Linked DNA regions of Styela clava. Each later gene encodes a partner of the first gene's protein in a complex. Links are inferred from orthologs where the notes say so. Each region holds a gene or a part of one and is shown on either strand. Other genes may lie near its edges.

Evidence for each region. The genes of interacting proteins can lie anywhere in the genome.
Region 2: mediator of RNA polymerase II transcription subunit 20-like (region 1) and mediator of RNA polymerase II transcription subunit 8-like share a complex: the UniProt entries of both Drosophila melanogaster proteins name them as parts of the mediator complex. The link is inferred for Styela clava from reciprocal best matches to the Drosophila melanogaster genes MED20 and MED8.
Region 3: mediator of RNA polymerase II transcription subunit 20-like (region 1) and mediator of RNA polymerase II transcription subunit 23-like share a complex: the UniProt entries of both Drosophila melanogaster proteins name them as parts of the mediator complex. The link is inferred for Styela clava from reciprocal best matches to the Drosophila melanogaster genes MED20 and MED23.

What each region holds. Positions count from the first base shown.
Region 1 is NC_135251.1:21,685,110-21,691,922, reverse strand, and holds mediator of RNA polymerase II transcription subunit 20-like, read left to right. Parts: upstream 1-4,033; 5' UTR 4,034-4,772; coding exon 4,773-5,381; 3' UTR 5,382-6,283; downstream 6,284-6,813. Other genes in the region: prolyl hydroxylase EGLN3-like, read left to right, coding at 6,284-6,813. UniProt on the Drosophila melanogaster protein: Component of the Mediator complex, a coactivator involved in the regulated transcription of nearly all RNA polymerase II-dependent genes.
Region 2 is NC_135258.1:9,744,497-9,750,587, reverse strand, and holds mediator of RNA polymerase II transcription subunit 8-like, read left to right. Parts: upstream 1-4,570; 5' UTR 4,571-4,572; coding exon 4,573-5,307; 3' UTR 5,308-5,566; downstream 5,567-6,091. Other genes in the region: cytochrome P450 26B1-like, read left to right, coding at 2,287-3,612. UniProt on the Drosophila melanogaster protein: Component of the Mediator complex, a coactivator involved in the regulated transcription of nearly all RNA polymerase II-dependent genes.
Region 3 is NC_135256.1:5,125,472-5,132,717, forward strand, and holds the start of mediator of RNA polymerase II transcription subunit 23-like, read right to left. Parts: upstream 3,026-7,246; 5' UTR 1,600-3,025; coding exon 1-1,599. UniProt on the Drosophila melanogaster protein: Component of the Mediator complex, a coactivator involved in the regulated transcription of nearly all RNA polymerase II-dependent genes.

The DNA of each region.
Region 1 (6,813 bases):
TGCTCAAATCTATGGACACGTTAATCAAAGCAAAGCAGTCGTTTTGCCATGAGCTTGTGCCGTTTTGCCATGAGCGTGTTCTCTCATCCACGACGAATAATGTAATATAAAGCATACATATTCGCTAACAAACACATTTCATGAAGTGTGGTGAATAATCCAAATGAAAAATAATTCAAGAACAATAAACAATATTTCATGTCACACAGACCTAATAGACTGGGAAATATTGACCAATGGTACAATTTTTTCTATTTACATTTTGCACCAGGACCAGGGTTCCCAGACTCCAGCGATCAAAAAAAGCCAAATCAAGACATAAAAAAGCCAGCAGAAAAAGCCAACAATTTTACGTACGAAAGCCCCATGATTTGTCAGATTTTGAGCCCTTGGAAACGTACTGATGAGAGAAAGAGAGAGATTTATTGATTCGTCAACCAAAACAAATATAAATATGAAAGCATAAATACAAATAAATAAACACTGTTTATGGTAAAGACTGGAGGGAGCGATACGACTATAGGGAGATGTGGTGCGGTCTTAGGGATAAAGACTGTTCACCCTAATATTCAAAGTTCGATTCCCACGTTATTAATTTCACGTGTTATGGAATGTGACTCCAATCTGGATTCCCTCAGACGATAATAAGCACACGATGATGATTGTCGACATGTTGTATATTATTGAAAAGATGCACGATCCAAATTCCAAATACAGATAAAATTGTAAACACTTAATTCTTAATGCAGTAATATTACGGTCAGATCACAAGTCATATATCAAGTGAAACAAAAAAACACAATATTATAGAGCATTCTCGGCAAACCGGAAACGATACGTTATCAAATTGGTCGAAACGAGAAAGGCAATACATGGAGCGAATGCATTATCGCTGTTGCGAAACATAATGCGGCCTATTTTGTGAAATATTACATGCTATTAATATGAAAGGGTTAAATACATTATAATCCATAGTTACACAATGCACATTCGCTACACAATTCCCCCTCGACAGTAAAAAAAATTAACTTGGTAATTTTTTAAATTTTGTAGTCCGGTCGCCGAGAGATGAAAGTCTAAAAACACAAAAAACACGAATCAATAAAAGGTACGATATGATGAATAATGGCTAAGGTATACGGGAGAATATACGTCGTTTACAAGAGCAAGAAAATACGTGAGAGAAAAAAAATCAAAAATACAAAAAAATTTCAAAGGGTCTCCGTGGTGCTTTGAAATGTTTAACATTTGAAAATGAAATTGTAACGATACATTGAAACAAAATGGCGACGATGTACCGGAAGAGACACCTTAAAATGTAAAACGGTTCTGATGTTTAATGAAGAGACTGAGAATGAATAAAATGGCGGGTTTCGTCCTAAAAATTGCATTGAAATTGATTAGATGTTTAAGGTCGTAAAATTGATGTTAGAGGTAACTTGAACAAAATAATAAGGAAGAAAAATCCTGAAAATTGAATAATGAGTGATTTGAAGAATTATTGAACCATTGAATCCTTGAGATTGAACCTGGATCAAATTCTGTATGAAGTAAAAGACTCATGATATCTAAAAACAACAATTGATTAGTAACAAGGAAATACACACAAAAGAAATGAGAATACGCAAAATTTTTATTTTGATGGTTTTGTAATATTTATATTTTTATAGTGAGGTGTTTTTATGTTTATGATGGATAATAATAAGAAAAAAGATAATAAAATACAAGACGATTAAATTGATAAAATGAAAATAAGTAATAACGAAGCGATACATTGCGAGTTACACACCATATACCAGTGGTTCTTAAAGCATGGGTCGCGACCCAAACATGGGTCGCGGAAGGTTTAAAAATGGGTCGCGACAAGGTCGTTAATGCAAGGGCAATCTAAGAGGAGACGGACGAATTTTCAGATTTCCCAATGTTTCAATTTAGCTTCTAAACTCTGGTATTTAAAAATAATGGAATATAAAATTTCATTCACGGAAAGAACTGTCTTGAGCTCATTGTTACATCACAATTCTGATATGCCAGTCACGTGTATTATTTTCATGGTATCGGTAACCATGCAACGTTGTGTTGACCGCGTGGAATGTCGTCTTAGTGGATTAAAATAACCAAAAATGGGTGTCTTTTTGGTATTGTAAATTGTAATAGACGACGCAATGAAAAAGCTCGCTTCTCGACATTAGATTATTCAATATCTAGAGAAAATGTGACTTCATCTCGAGGCACCATTTACCGCGAACGAAGCGGTGTGTGCACATTTGATGAGTAAAAAGTTGTATATTGCGAGAGATACCGAAGGCCAGCTAGGATGTCGTGTTTGCGACGGACAGCGGACGCCTTTCTGCTACAATTCGCGACAAGGCACTTGTGCGAGCGAGGATATTTGGCACTGACGGTTATCAAAACTAAGCTCGCAATCGCCTCGATACCCGTGACAACTTGCGTATTGCGTTATGTAAAATAGAGCTGTGTATTGAAGATATAATGAAAAGGAAATTTCAGTTTCATCAATCTCACTGAGTCAATGGACTGTTTCTAATAAATAGTTGTCTGTATTTGAGTCAAACTGTACTAACATTAAAAACACATTTTGCGTTATTTAGGATTGGGTCGCGAGTATTCATAAAACTCAGATTTGGGTCGCGCTCGAAAAAGTTTAAGAACCACTGCCATATACCATTTGCAACGTGCGTCGAAATCGAGTTTCCTTAATAGGGTGTGGATAAATCGAAAGGTTTACGGTCAGATCACAAGTCATATATCGAGTGAAACAAAAAAACACAATATTATAGAGCATTCTCGGCAAACCGGAAACGATACGTTATCAAATTGGTCGAAACGAGAAAGGCAATACATAGCAAACATAATGCGGCTTATTTTGTGAAATATTACATGCTATTAATATGAACGGGTTAAATACATTATAATACATAGTTACACAATGCACATTCGCTACACGACCATACGGTCATCCAAGTCAGCTCACCGTACCTTTGACGCTACCGGTACCTACGCTTGACAAAGCAGGAATTTCGTTCCACACCACCGACGTTCCATGAGCGTGATCAAAAGAACAACAAAAAGAGTGACAGCACAAAAACAAATCCAATACGTGTCATAAAAACGAATCCCACAGTGCTATCAAGAATATTTGAAATAGATGAATGTAATAGCCTTCTAAAGAATTTTTTTATCTTTAACCACTGAAAAGAGCAATTGGTCCAGTAATCAAAAAGAAAAGCGACTTTTTACGTTTTCCACAAGGTGTCCAAAAGTGTCAAAGAACAACAACAACATAATATTAAAACGATCGTTATGTTCACTAACTTGTCCAACAAGAACAACAAAAATTGCAAAACGATCGTTATGTGCACCAACGTGTCCAATTTACGTGCGAACTTGATCATTTCACATTTTGAAAAAACTACACACACGTGAGCTACTTGATCTCAAAAATCGGTGTGTCAGATAATTTGCAAAAATCCATTGACAGTAACCAGCAATGCTAACCGGTTTGCTGATCTCAAAATTCCGTGAGACGGTTCTATAGAACCAGTGCGAACAGGATGAATCCCACAACTGGATAAAGTGCGTAATAAACCGACATATTTTAATAAGTGATAGGGCCTACTACCCTCTAGTACAGGGTGGTCCAAACCCAGGCCGGCGGGCCACATGTGGGCCGCCGCGTCATTATCCGTGGCCCGCGACTCATTTGCGCGAAGGGAAACAAAAAATTGCACTTGGAGTTGTTTCATCTTGAAAATAACCAAAAAATATTTTAAAGTCACTGAATTGAGTAGTGTTATGGCTAGCTGAAGCAGCTAGCGTGGTTAATTTATGTGCTTAGGTAGACTAAATATTTATCTGGCTTTCCATTTTTTTGTTCGGGAATATATGCTAACAAAATAAGCTTCGTAGAAAAGTAAAAATCGAATATAAAGAATCTATAAGCCTAGGTTGGCTACGCATGTAACTGAATATAATTCCTGTCGGATCTTTTTTGAAATTTAGTAATTATCCTAATGTATCCCAAATTTGGTGAAATTCAGTAATCAATCAATCTGCTGTTATTTGTAAATTATTTTGTAAACATGAGTTTGAAAAGAATGCTGACCAATTCAAACAGATTTTTTGACTGGATATGGGATACCGGTACCATACCATAATACTTGCCCAATATGTCTGCAAGTTGTGTCGGTGATGACTGATGATCTAAAACGACATTTTCTTCGTTATGAAAAGTTTGAAATTTTACACTAAATGTAGATATAGACTAGTCTAGTAAGATTTGTGCAAGTTTTAGTAAGTTTTTTTTGGTGGTTTTTGTACGTTTTAGCTTGATAAATGACTAATAATGATCAATGTGTTTGGACAATAGAAGTGTGTGTTTTGTATTGCACTGTATACTCTAGGCACTATTGTGGCCCGCGAGGCCGACAACCTTGGACCACCCTGCTCTAGTGGTATAAGGGGAAAATTTTTCCATAAACAATGAATAACTTTGTAATATTTTTGATAAGTTGAAAGCAGATTGCAGACCCCAAAATTTTGTAGATATCATTTTTTGTGACAAAATTCATTTTCACATTGAAGTAGCATTGTAGAATTTTGTGAAATATACTCTACTATACCACTTTTTGTCATGCAGGTCTGCATTTTCTTGTTGTTTGTATCAATACTTCTTTCTGTATATGTACAAGCTGATTTAAATTAACGCATTCATGCTAAAATAAAGTTGAGATATTATATAATCTGGCAGTATGGGAGTTACATTTGTAACCCATTGGGATATTGAGGAAGGAAAAAATGTTCCACAATCATTAGAAGAACTTCAACGGACAATTGAAAAAATTGGAGCTAAAAAATCAGGATTATTTTGCGTGGAATGTGAAACATATCAAACAGTGAACATTAATCAAGGAAAACCTCTAAACATAATATCCAACTCGGAATACCCATTGTCAAAATTTGCACTTTTTGAAGATGGTGCTTCACTAATCGCAGATGCAATGCTACCAAATTTTTTAGTTAAGATGAGATTGTTTTGGCAACAGCGCAAAGGGGCAAAGATTGAGTGCAAAGGACATCGGTATATTCTCAATGATTTTTTATTCAAAATTGGAGTAGTTACTCATGGGTCAAATACAAGAGGAATTGCTGTTGAGATAGAGTACACTCCGTGCCTTTATGTTAAAGAATGTTGGAATTTGCTTTTAGAGATTTTTCAAAATATTCTGGGACCCCAAGCTCCTACATCGGAAAATCCACTTTTTCAAAAATTGAAATCAACTGACATAATATATACAGCGGAACATACATCTTTACAATACATAGAAGTTTTCAATAATTTTCGCAAAGTTACATCATGAATTGGGATTTTATATTCCGTTGGTCTGTTTCGTGTATTTGTAACATTGGAGTTGCAATGAGTTATAAAGTATGAAATATCAAATATTTTAATATTACCAGAACTTTCAGAACCTGTCCCTCCAAAATAGTAGATGAGAATTGATTTCCTATTTTTATTATGGAGAATGAAGTTTCTTATCGTCTTGTTCAACATTAAACAAATAATTGAAAATAATGCCATTTTCAACTAATTTGGTTTAAACTTTGAAAATTAGCTTTGGCGTCATCGCTCTAAAAAGTTTACTGATAAGTTTTTATTTTATTAAATATTTGGTATATATGTCTGCTAATTTAATACTTTCTTCTAAACAAAAATGTTATTCATATCCATGGGAAGATGATTTAATAAAAGGATTTTGCAAAACATTCGGTTAATTTTGACATGTAATATTTTTGTATTGCCATTTTTACTATGAACGTTGCCATGTACAGGGATCCCAGTTCAATACACCCTGCGTGAGATGATAGGCATGTGACTTCAACATGGGATGTTCAACCTAGTTATGCCCAGCGCTTTAACCAGTGATTTCATTTTATATTTGTTCATTTTTAAATCCATGCCTGTACGATGTGTATGTTATGTAGGTTTACATAAACTTTTGAAACCAACTTGATTGCTCTTTAGATATATTGACATAGTGACAGTACGATGACAGTCATGGTCACGATGCTTTGTTTAACTAGCATATTTATACGCTATTCAAATATTCCCATCTACTTATTACTACTTCTCAATAAAGTATCGAAATAATTTTACACAACCCAAATTGATGATATTGTGGAAAGAAAATCAGTCTGATTATAAGTTTTCATACAATTGCTATTTTATGAATTTATCTCAATTTTCTACCATCATCAATTTATGAGCTTGATAACCTTATTTGCAGAAATATTGTTTGTTCACTATAATAAGATGCCAACTTGTGCTGTTTGCGATAAGCTTGACAATTTGAAGTCCTGTAGTCGATGTGGAAGTGTAGAATATTGTGGGCGTGAACACCAAACACAACATTGGAAAGTGCATAAAAAAGATTGTAAAAAACAATCGGGCAAGACAGACAGCACTGAAAATTCTGAAGAACAAAATGAGAATTCCACAATAGATGAAGTCGCACAAAAGATCAAATCAATGAATTTAGAAACAGAAGGTCGTGTGGCACAGAATTCTATTCCTCTTAACCCATATGATAGTTACACAAAAAGGGATGAAGGAATTGTTGCTCGATGTCATAAAAACTTAGTTCAGAGGGGAATATGCGTCATCGATACGTTTGTGGATGAAAATAGAGCGGATTTGTGTCTGGCTGATGCAATGTCTTTATATTCGCAACCCGATAAATTTAAACCGGGTGAAGTGATCAAGCAAGCGGGAAAAGATAAAATACGCGGAGA
Region 2 (6,091 bases), on another chromosome or scaffold:
CTGGATTTCATGGCCTTTTTGAACGAGAAATCGGGCGTGCAATCAGAAATTCCCGCGTGCAAATAAGAATTCCTGGCGTGCAATTATAGCTCACGACGTGCAAAACAACTGCACTCGCGTGCAACTGACTTTGACATCAGATACCTCTCAATACATCCGCGTAAAATTACCGGTATCGGATAAAAAATACGTTGTATCAGAGAAAAAATGGACGTTTGACCTTTGACCCCAAACATTATTTCTACAGTTTGTCGCTAATTTTGAGAGTGTTTGTGCGACTTTGGATACCGGTACTGTTCAGTACATCCGCGTAAAATTATTGGATAAAAAATACGTTGAACCAGAGCAAAATGGACATACTTTGTCATTAATTTTGGTAGTGTGTTTACGTAGAATTAATGGATAAAAAATACGTCAAATTAGAGCAAAATGGACGTTTGACCTTTGACCCCAAACATTATTTTCATACTTTGTCACTAATTTTGGGAGTGTTTGAGCAACTTTAGATACCGGTACTGTTCAGTACATTCGTGTAAAATTATTGTATGAAAAATACGCTGAATCAGAGCCGTACTTGGCCATTGGTGCGGAGGCGATCTTTTCGTCCATAACTATTCTCACGGGATTCCTATTTCCTATCATTCAACACGATATGGACCTTTCCCCGAGCATCGACTTCCTTGTTTACTTCGTGACATTGGCCAATCAGCAAGATGCAAAAAAGGACGTAACAATGAGAGGAATTTTTCGCGGGTCAAAGGTTGGGGAAAGGTCCATGGTCTTTTTGCTTCGCAATATTTCGATCAGACCAAATCTTGCAAGCTGGTATTTGTCGACAATTGTGGAGGTATAATATTTTGGCATCTTTATATTACTGGATTATTGATTTTAAAACCATTTAAACCGATTTACATTGGTGAGCAATTGCAAATTTTCGGCGTGCAAAATTGATTTCGCTCGCGTGCATTTTTGCGGAGCGCTAGCGCCCTCGGGCGTGCACCTGCCATGGAATCCAGTCTGGGTTAGAATCATATTCTAAATGGCCTAAGCCTAAGTTTGCTGTAAATTTTATCGACTCCACACCACAGCCCCAGTCAAAACAAACAGTAAATTCTTTATATAAGTACTATTTTTATTCAATTTCAATCAAGATCTGAAAGACAACATATTTAAGACTAAATTTGAGTTTAAGACTAAAAGGTACATATTTCCAACTGCATTTCCGTGCGAGCCATATGGCATTTCTACATTTAATTATTCATGAATGAAAATGCAAAAATTGTTACCGGTACGCTAAGCCCGCTAGAAGTTACTGAGGTATGAAAACTACACCCATATCGTTAAAGCAAATTAATACGTCGGTTTCTGCTTGTATAAAGCCTTGCATAGAGTGAAAACATTCCACGTCCTATTAAAATGTGGCACAATACATGATCAATCTCCGGATAATAAATAACAAGTCTTTATGTTTGCCGTACCCAACCTCAATCATCAATTAATATGTTCTTTCTGTTTGTCTAAAGCCTTGCCTAGAGCGGTATCGTATAATACCCTATTAATAGATTGTAGCATACATGAGCTATTGCTGGACATACGGTAAAATAACAAAGGTTTATGTGTGTGGTACCCAACTTCAACCATCGCGTAAATTAATATGCCCTTTCTGCTTGTCTAAAGTCTTGCTTAGAGTGGTGTCGTATAACGCCCTATCAGATTGTAACACGATACATGAGCTATTGCTGGACAAAAAATTGTTCGGAATGGGATAACGTGAACGTTCCATGGCGACAATTTAGTCCCTTGTGATCCTTGTTTATTTTGAGCTCTGCGCAACGATCCCGATACGAGAGAGGTCGCTGAGAGTTTGTAAACATACTCGCGGGCGCCATTACGGGAGACCGTCGCTATACTTTGGCAAGCTGTATTTCGTTATTGTGACGTCGCAGTGACGTAATTTTTTTGATGACGTCATCAGGTGGGGGTCAGGAATCATATATTTAAAAATTGTTACGCCACGCCCATTAGAAGTTATTCAGGTGAGAAAGTACATGAGACGCAATAATTATTTACGGGAATATAAAGTAGTAAGACCGCTTGCAAATTTAAGTATTTGGTAAATGTTACCTGTAGTATCGTGACTGTATGATTACAATATTTTCATTATCTGATTATCTAACAGAACATTCAGAGTAAACATTAGAACATGCAAAGATATCGATAATATCGGGGATTACCATCAGCTGATCAAAACACAGACACTCGAAAATGCTGTAAGTTGATAGAGGCATGTCTCAACTTCCGGGATCATGTGGATACCCAATATTTGGCGACAAGTCGGTGGAATTCTACAGGGACCCCGAACTGTTTATCACCACAAAAATATCTGAGACCTCATCCAAAGTCTTTCTAACAAGACTTGTTAATACACCAACTATATTTGTTTGTTCACATCAAGAAACAACTGAAATTCTATATGAAAAATCGAGAGATTTCGATCATGGATATAGAGAATTTCTTTACAATTCTTATGGAGACAATCTTTTGTTTGAAAATGGAGAAGCAGCAAAGTTATTAAGGAACTGTCTCACTCCTATATTCACTAATATTACACAGTATGAATCGAGTATCGAGGAATTTTTTGGGAAGTTTTTCGAAAATTTCCCACCGAATGGAGAGTTAGTCAATGTATATGAAGAATTTAAATCTCTGATGACTAAATTCTGTCTTAAATTTTTTCTTGGATTTTCAGATACATCATCAGAAAGGTCAAAATCTATTTCTGAGTTGGCAACATTGCATTGGCATGGCATTATATCCCTTCCTGTTAGTGTTAAAATTCCTTTTGCTGGTCAATCTGGTTGGAGCAAAGCAATAGAAGCAAAAGAAAAACTTCTTATTCATATTAGAAAAATGATAGCAGCAGAGAAGAATAATAGTTCATCAAAACTGGATGCATCAGTATCCAAAAACGATGCCTATGTCAATCCTAACAAGTCCAACGTTATACAACAGATGCTTCAAGCGCCATTTATGAATAGGGATAAAAATATGGAACAGCATATTTTACTCTTCATATCCTCTCTTATTCCAAAAGCATTTTCTTCTATTATTACTTCGTTCATATTAGAAATGGCTGCGAAAGAAAGAGCTAATTTACGTGAGAGTGCTGCATTAGATTCTCAACTTCTTTCAAGAATTTTATTAGAAGTTCAGAGATTATGGCCTCCGTTTTTAGGAGGACGACGCATTGCAAATAAAGATACGACTATTGGTGGCTATAAAATACCAAAAGGTTATGCTGTAATTTATGTCTCATATTTTGCCCATAGAGATAAGAATGTGTTTAAAAATCCTGATGAATTCAATCCAGATCGATGGTTAAATCAGGGAAATACTATATCAGCAAATTCTATATTTACTTTTGGGGGTGGGGAACGTGTATGTATCGGACATCGTCTCATTCAGTATATCCTACAGCGTTTGACAAAAACGTTACTGGAAAAATTTACATGGGAAATTGATGGTGATGTCAACAATACAAAAAAGTACAAATTACTCCCAGTCGCAAGACCTACAGAATTGCCTTGCGTTAGATTTCATAATAAAATATAGTTGATTATTTTTCTCACAATTTTTGTCGTTTTACCTCTGTATTGTGTTATGTGCCCATTATCCTCTATAGCCTAATCTGTTTTTAAAATGTTCCGATGAAATTTCAAATTACATTCAACACTCTGAAGCTTTAAAATTGTTTTGAACAAGTCCTTTTTTCATTCAATCATTATATAACTAATTCTTTCTTACAAATTGCAACTTCTTGCAAATTGCACTTGATTCTTCGAAATCAATTTGTTATCATTTTTTTTAATTTTTCTGTAAAATTTTTAATCACTTGATTATTAATACCTTATGAATGATGAACAGTATTATTGTTACTGTACTGTACCATGTTACCGCAGCATTATTTTTATCAATATGAATTTTGCAATGTCAGTCAGTACTTGATATATTCCCAGAGCACTTTTTTATCTTTATTTGTTACCTAACAAATATACCATATATCATGGATGTTTATTAATATTGATATTGTTAACAAAAATTCTATTCTCATATTTCTCCACATCGGTATTGGAATACTGTACTTCTAGACTTTTTTGAAAAATTATTTATAACTTGAGTATTTTCTAATTTATTTGTTTTGCAATTGAGTTTTCTCTGCAGATTATTTCTTCAAATTATTATCAATATTACAATGCGGTTCATTTAGAAATCAAGATTTGTTCTCTCCATTTCTATGCATGAAATTTGAAATTATCTTTTTGTGTACCTTAATTAAACGATATTCAGCATGATTTGTGAGTTACCTAATTCAAACATTTACAGACTTCTTTTTTATATAAGACCTGTCTATTTAAACCGGTATTCCATCTTGTACTAGTGTTTTTATCAAACTGTGTTGTGGCTTGTGATAAGAATCAGTTTCAAATTTTCTGATAGGGCTGTATTTGATTTTTGACTAGTTTTTATTATCAAATGATGTGAAGTTATGCAAATTGATATCTTAGATTTATAATGAGTACTGTTTATATTTATCAGCCTGCAACACTTATTTCTAAAAATAATATCATGGAATCTCAAGGAATAGAAGAAAAAGTGCTCGAGCAATCAGTTGAAGCCCTCATGAATCGTTCTCGAGAATTGAAAAATGCTTTGGTACAATTTATTGCAAAAATAGATCACGAACATGAAACTCTTACTTGGACATCAGTCTTGGATAGTTATGCTCTGTTATCGGGTCAAATGAGTTCACTCTTCAACTTATTGAAAGCTGAAAAAATAGCACCTCTTCAAAATTATCCTATTATACCATTACGCTTGGGCCAGGATGACGACCAATATCTTGCTAATCTAACGGAAGGTAGATTGCTATATCTTAATCATGCCGTTGTCCCAGATTATCTAAGGACCAAACCTGATCCAGAGGTCGAACAAACGGAACGTCAAATGAATAATGAAGCAAGTGTATGTAATGATGCAGCCGTCAAAAACTTAAACAAATGTTGTGATAAAATGTTAGAAAGAATAAAACTTTCTCTACATAATTGGAAAAACGATCAACAGCAAATGAAAAATATAAAACCAACATTTAATCAGAATGACACTGTACAATTAATTGCAGCTTCAACGTACGGTCGTGATATTTCAATACAACAGTCTCGAAACCCAACTCAGCTACCACCAGGAGGTGGGAAAATGCAAACGGCTACGGGTGTCAAAATAGAGTCCCATCCATATTCAAGGCCATGATTGCTTAGGATCAATGTTTTGGATCCATTTGGTATTGGAATATTGTTGTAAACGCATTGTCTTAACATGAAATAAAGGCTTTATGAGCCGTGGGACTGCTTGAAAAAATATAAGCAAAACTCTATGTTATATTCTGACATTACATGAATAAATATATGAGGGAACTGGCGAATATGTAGGGGAATTGTAGTTCATCTAAAATTAATTTTTCTATCTAGATTATGAAGAAGACTGATGAAATACAATATGATAAAAACTGCTTTTCTTGTGATATATTTATTTTATATTGAGCATGAAAGCGGAATTGGAATTAGCCTCTTTGTTGAGGTATCTTTCTATACCATAAGCGTAAGGGAATGCCTATGGGCCTGTTTTACAGTAAGCCATGGTACAAACTGCTAAATTTAACATGGTTTGTCGAATCTTGGATGTTTTGTACTCCCAGATTGGGTTTCACAATGTAGTTTCCATGCCAGTTTTGTATAAAGCCATGGTACAAACTGCTAAATTTAACATGGTTTTTCAAATCTTGGATGTTTTGTACTTCCAGATTGGGTTTCACAATTTAGTTTCCATGCCAGTTTTGTATACCATTCATATTGTCTGATAATACAACAACAAGAACATCTACTAAGCAAACAAAACTTTAATGTTTGAGCTTGACTGGTTACGAGTTAGTCTGACAGGTACGTAGGGCTTGATCAATCCAACTTACTGTTCTCCCATTATGATCAAGGGTAGGGATGGGCAATATAGAATACCGAATCCGGAGGATTCGAATCCA
Region 3 (7,246 bases), on another chromosome or scaffold:
TGTCGTAGTCGAATCTCCATAAATACTGTCAACTAGAGAGTTAATAGGTCCGTTGAAAAGTTCTGTTGTCGTGCTACAAGCGTTACATATCAGAGCGATCGCATAGTCTTGCAAACTGTTGTTCTTTGATTCCAAACAACGCTGCAAATACTCGTGGTGTTTTTGTAATGATACTGGTATCGCACAATGTTGAAATTGTGCAGTTTTGGACGTGGTGCTAATAGACCCCGAAGAGCTGTTAGAACTTGCATTTTCTTGTTGTTGATTATCACTCTGGGCTTTCCTGTTCAAATGCATTAAAATGCAAATTGCAGCAAACTTATGTGTGCTGAACGGCTTCGTTATATCAGGTTCTGGAAGAGGTTGACGTTCAGAATACAACAAATTCATCAACTTTATAATCGGAAGAAAATCGCTGAGTGGATTTTTTTGAATGCTTCCTGAAATAAATTGAAGCAAGACCCACATTAAATGATCACGTCCATTTTTGACATTTCTTGATGAAAGTTTCTGATAAAAATTTTCAACCATTCTTGGGAAAACTGCGAATTGCAAAAGAACAAAGTAGATCACCTGACTTGATAAATGTTGCCATTGTAAATGTATTATACGATAAGCATCGTCCTTTTCATCTAAATTTTCGATTTCACTAGTTCGTTCCATTGTGCTGACAACTAAATCAACCAGTTCTGTTTCTAACGCTTCGCATCTTTGCTTTTGCTGTTTTTGAAGATTCAGAACATGACACACCATATCTCTTGAATACGGCTGCTCAAGAATGTATCTCAAGAGCTTCGTTTGGCGTTGATATAAACTTCTATCATACGGAAGTTGTCCTTTCGTTGTGAATCTCAAAGTCTCATGATCAAGTTTCCAAGTGGTCGTTAACGGAACAGAAAAATGAAAAACAACCGGCAAAAGATGTGACCGTCCTGTTGTGGAAACCATGGTCGCCGTTGCACGAAATCTGTCTACAAACTCCGCGACTTTCCCTGATAGACTCCAATGACCGGATGGTTGGTCCTCCCCAGAATATTGACGAATCTCATTAACGGCTAAATACCCTGGTAATAGACAAGCTTCTGGATCCAATAGGTATTCAATTACATCAATTATAGCATTCATTTGTTCTGTCATTTCAGACCAAGAGGTTGTCGGTACATTTTTCAACTTCAACAGAACTAGATGCAGAATATCACGACATCCTTTATATTCAATTAAATGAATATATTCCTTTAAAATTTCAAACGTTTTGCACCAATGAACACGACGATTATGTTTCAACATTTCATGAGGAATTAAACGCTGCAGAACTGTTTTGGTAGGTAGTATCGAATCCTTCAAACAAATTTTGATCATGTCCGCTACAAAATTTATGTGACGTAAAACAGTTTGTTTATGGAAAAAATTCAACAAACCAGACACACAATCTTCGGGCGCAATCTCTCGGGTCATTTCTTGAAATTGAGAAAGGCATGCACGGAGCCGTTTGTCATGGTCTTCTGGAGTTAAACGAACAAATCCAGCAAAAACATTCACTATTGTATCTGTCTTCAATGCGTCGTCGAAAACTTTTTCAAGTCTACTATCAATAGACATGTTGATTCCCTTGTTTAGAAAAAATTCATTGAATGGAAAATTTTCAGCAAAAGTCGGACATTACTTAAATCCAATATACAGTAAATAATGGCTCTATAAGTATTACTGAAATATCAATTGGATTATTTTATATAGGCCTATTAAATGTCTTGGTAAGAATTACTACAGTATTGATTACAGAAAAAGAATGACATTAATGTGGCAATTAAAAGAAGCGCTAATATAGTAGTACAATACGACACAATATCCAAATTCCTAGAATTTCCCTCCAATTTGTTCAATAAAACATACACTCCATGTGTCTCACAAAAGAGGGCACCACGTCGGATGCGTCATATCACGCCATGCTTGTCTCAATAGTAATCTAAATTAATCGCGGCCGCCATGTGACCAAAATTGCCATTTTTCGCTAAAAACTCTCGAATGCCACGGTAAAAAACTTTTTCCCTTCGGTAAATTGGATTATTTTTTCCAGAGAAATTCAATGATGACGTTTTTAGATTGCGCTTTTTTGTAGTATTTTGCGCCAACTTCATTATACTGCATTTTTACCGATATTGAGGGACAACAATGTCCAGACGTCTGCCAAAGGAGGACTGTCTGATCATCGGTAAAATGGGTTTCTCTGAAACAGGACAATGTCACTCGATTTGTATAGTGTGCTGTACTGTAGTGACATAAATTTGCTTGAATGATTTATTGAATAAGCTAATAGTAGGCTGTTCAAAATTTAAATATCCTGCGACGCCAAAACCAAATTAAATGGTTCTTCCAAATTGAATTAAATATTAAACTAGACGAGTATTTTAATTTAAAAAATCCAGTTATCATACAGATAAATTAGAATTCCGACAATTTCAATCAAATAAATTATACATGAAGTTCTGCACAGTACTGCAGTATTTAACAAAGTGTTAATCGATAAATTAACATAGGAACAGGACTTGAAAATGTATCCAAAGCGAAATTCAAAATGTTTACAAACTTTTTCATGAACTGGCCGACGATATCAAACTTCTAAAAATTGATTCAATATCGATATGATAAATAAAAATACTAAGCACTAAAACTTGGAATGTAGCAGAAAACTTTGAATAAAAAGCAACATAGTAGGATGTATAAACTTATCAGATCAAATTTAATTAGTGTGGCCACAAGTTACATTGTCCACTGTTTAGAAATGAAATACTGCAAACCACACTTGAGATGTGGATGAGAGACATGTACGTACACTGCAGCACTGCCAACAACTCAGGATTTGAAAACAAATTTGAATGAAATTCAGTCACAACATTTATTTTCAAATCACATTTTTGTTTGTTGTTATTTAGGCACTTACTTGCGTTAACTATTTAAGACCTGTAGACCCCAAACTTGTTCACAACTTACTTGATGATAAAATATATTACAAGACTGCAAGAGGAGCCAAGTTTAAATTGCTGAATAGTCTTGTCTAGGAGGCGCGGCGGTGTGGCTCAACGGGCGAGTGGGAGTGGTGAATCCTCTGCGGCCCATGGGCCGGGGCCACGGCCCATCGAATTGGGCCTCGGCCCATCAGGCTATGGGCCGCGGCCCATCAAGTTGTGTAAAGAAACTATTCACTTGGCTAACACAGACAGTCCCCGAACTCATAATAGAACTATAATGTAAAAAAATCTGAATTTTTCTTGTCCTAACCCTAACCTGGTACACATACTACAGGAGTATATTTTTTTGGTTTGAATATTGACAATTTGGTAAAAATTGAAAATTTTGTTAAAATAATTGAATTTTTCTTGATGGGGCTGCGGCCCATCAAGCTATGGGCCACGGCCCATGTGGCCCAATTAGATGGGTCGTGGCCCTGGCCCATGGGCCGTAGAGGAGTCACCACTCCTGTAGCAACGGGCTAAGCGTTAGGAATACGCTCGTGACCGCACCTCTAATTACTCTGCGTGGGTTCGAATCCCATGCAGGGATGGTTATGTGCGAGAGGATTGCTGGACTCCTCGCCGTCGTTGGGTGGTTCATGTAACCGCTGGTCGGTTATGGCTTCCTCCAGCACCAAGTCCATGCTTCCGAAAACAAACAATACGGTAAAACTAATCCCATACCTGACTTGGAATGGTAACCGGACGTGAGGCCGTGGTTCGCCATATGGATAAGCCGTCTTATCAGCTTTCCTCTCCCCCGGGATGAATATGTAAATCCTATCCTATCCTAGTTACCGGTATAGAAAGCAATAAACGAACTTCCACAAGAGTCTATGGTTGAGCCAAATAAGATAATTCACTATGAAAACGATTCCAAGTTACTAAGCAATTAGGTAAACTACCCGTCCCATAATAAAATATATAAATACACAATACAAAACACACAATGGCAAATATTTAAATCCAATTTGCCCATCTTCTCTAAATGTCCAACTTCATTTACTTCCATGTTTGATCCATGTTTCCAGGGTTGATCACTATGATGCACAAAGATCAAAACGTATTTTGAATTCGGCTGTGGTTTTGCTCTGCTGATTTGTATATACTGTAAGTTTTATACGCTTACTTAGTATGATATAATAAGTATACCGTACTGTTTATATCATTTAAAATATTTTTTTAATGTCAACTTTTCCAAACTTTATAAAAAAAATAAGAGAGGGAACATTTATTTTAACCGTGTAGGAATAATTTGCTAATTAGTGGGGCGTGACGACAAATATTAGCGACCTCTAGCGAGTTGTTTTGCCTCATTTTTATCGTCAGCAGGTGACACACTTGAGCTTTTCGTTATTGATTTGTTGCCAGAATTTTCTTCTCATTTCGTAAAAGAACAACTTATTTTTATTCTACTATTTTGTGTAAATTGAAGGATAAAAATACATAGTGTAATATTATAATAATTTTTATATATAAAATTGTTTAATGAACATATATTCCATTACTTTATTAGATATTAATTTCCTTTTGAGTATTTCCAATTATCAGGTCTGGCAATTGTAGATCAATAGGAGAAATGCCGATTCACCGGTGTTGTTTTTCTATTTGCTCGTCGGCATTTCTACATTTGCAGCGATGCAGCTTTATTAAATTCCACTGTTGTCGAGTATACTGGTAGAAGGAAGCATTGCATAGAAGACTGCAATACAATTCTGGAAGGTTCAGTTCTTCGTATTCTAAGGTGAGAATAATTCATCAGTATGCTAGATGTCAAAATACGGTTCTGATTCTGTAATAGACTAAGTTTTATTTTTTTGTTTTGTTTTTATCGTCTTTTATGCTGATTGTGGAGTAAAAATTGTCTTATACCATTATACTCCACTTCTTTACTGGGTATGTTTAGATGGTAGGATATGGTATGAACCACAATTTTTTTCCTAATTTCGATAGATGATATTTTCGATTTCGTGGAATCACTACGGTTTTATATTTCAGGTATTCGTGTGTGCTGTGTATGCAACATTTGTCAAGGTGCCTTGAACCTATAATACTGTGATTCATTGATGCTTTGTGTATGATTGCTGCTCAAAATTTTAGATTTGGTAGATAAATCAACTTTTCTGATTGACTAATTGTATTGCAGTATAGTAGATACTGAGATACGGTACTTTCAAATGAGGCTTCAAGGCTTATCTATAGGGCTTTATATTTATTTATTCTTTGACTTGCATTTTAAGTCAATAGTTTTAAAACATTGAAAATACACCTTGTATGAACAAACAATGTTAAAATGACATTTAAGGGTACAAAGAGGCACCAATCTTACTTTTGAGAAACTTACATTTACATTCACAGTATTTGTTGTATGGTTAATTGAATTTAAATTGTTACCAAATAAACCATTTATGAAAGTCTTTTAATATATATCATATATTTCTTGTTTTTGGTATGAACAACCTTATCATTTTTTGATTGTTCATATTCTTTCTTTGTAGAGATGGATATGTAAATGACTGCAATGGATTACAAGTCTCTTCAATATGTTTCTTTTCTTCGAGAGAAGATTGAAGATTATATCATGGCAGCTGAGCTTAACAATGTAAGTGAATATTCCTTTTATAACAATGGAAATAATATAATGCAATATTTGTAGAGTTTGTAAGTGATGGCTTACAATTTTTTAGGATGTCAAACTCGTTTTATTTTTTGGATAGCTTTTCATACTTGCAATGGTATGGATAAACTTCTGACTACATTTTTCGCCAGACGCCAGACTTAGAATGTGTGAAATTATAATGGGCTGTTACCATTTTATTACCTCACACATCTGATCTTTGACACATTGTATATACCGAGTTCATTTTCTTTAATCACCTAGTCTTTTGTAAAATCTGTTTAGGGAATCGACAGCTTAATGATAGTAAAATTCTACATCCAACTTCATCTATATTGTAACTTATCTACAAGATAGTTCAGAGTATATTTAAAAAAAGCCATAATATTTTATTAAAATCTTTTTTTTTTTGTTCACAAAGTCTTGCCGCAATTTTGCTTTTCTCTTTTCACATTCAAGTCATGCTTTAATTACTGTGAGATTCACTAAAGTTTCAAACACTATTCCGCAGTCAAACACCATTTATTTAATATCAATCCATGATTCCGAAAACAAATAACTGACTAATCTGATATCCGACATGGACTGGTAATCAGACGAGAGGATGTGGTTTGCCATATGATTAAGCCGTCTTATCAGCTTTCCTCTCCCCCAGGATAAATATGTTAATCTTATCCCATCTTGTGGTGAATGTCACAATTCATATGGAGGCGTGTCAATGATGTTCTTTTAGCACGTCACACAATTCTCAATATCTGTTCACTTATTAATCATCAAATCTATGCTATAAATATCTAAGTGGGCGTATCACTGGGCGTTTTCTGATGATGGCACTCCTCTTATTATTGAACAATGACCTTATTGACCTTGAGATATTCCTTCTTTGGTTAACCTATTAGCTTACTGTCAGCATGTCGATTTGTCCTCTAAGGAGGATGCTATTCAAATTGAATTGGGTCCATACGACCATTCCTTCAACTAACTGTTTATTGTAATCCGTCATCATCAAATTTACTCTATATTTTTAAACAACATAATAACATGATTTTGTCCTAATTTTGTTTTAATTTCATAATGTTAACGACCACTACTAGAAAGTATATTTGAAGTTGAATTCAAGCTTGACTACTAGTTTTGATTTATTTTAAACTTATCTTGGTTTTTCTGTGGCAGAGCCTTATTTGTTGCAAACACCGGTAGGTCATAATTGTGGTTGACACAACTTATTTACATGTTTTCTAATGCATTACATTAGTTCATGATATGTTTTCTGTTTCACTCTGGACAGGTTGACATTGTGGGCACTGGCAATAAAGTGAGCAGTGGTTCTCAATATTTTATGGCAGTCATGTCCCTCAGTTTATCATTCCAGTGGTATGTCATTTTGATTGGTAGATTCCAAATCCCATTATGTTTGAGCAATTTATGCTTAACAAAGTGAAAACACCCTGTGAAATCTCTTATCAAACAATGAAACTAGGAAGAATGGGGAGTTTTCTTATGAATGAAAAATAAAATTAATTTTGCGCCAGCATTGTGTCCTCCCCCCCCCTCCCCAACTGTAAATACCTATATTTTTACTCTGTGGCGCCCTTAGGGACTGCTGAAGTGGGGCCTTTGC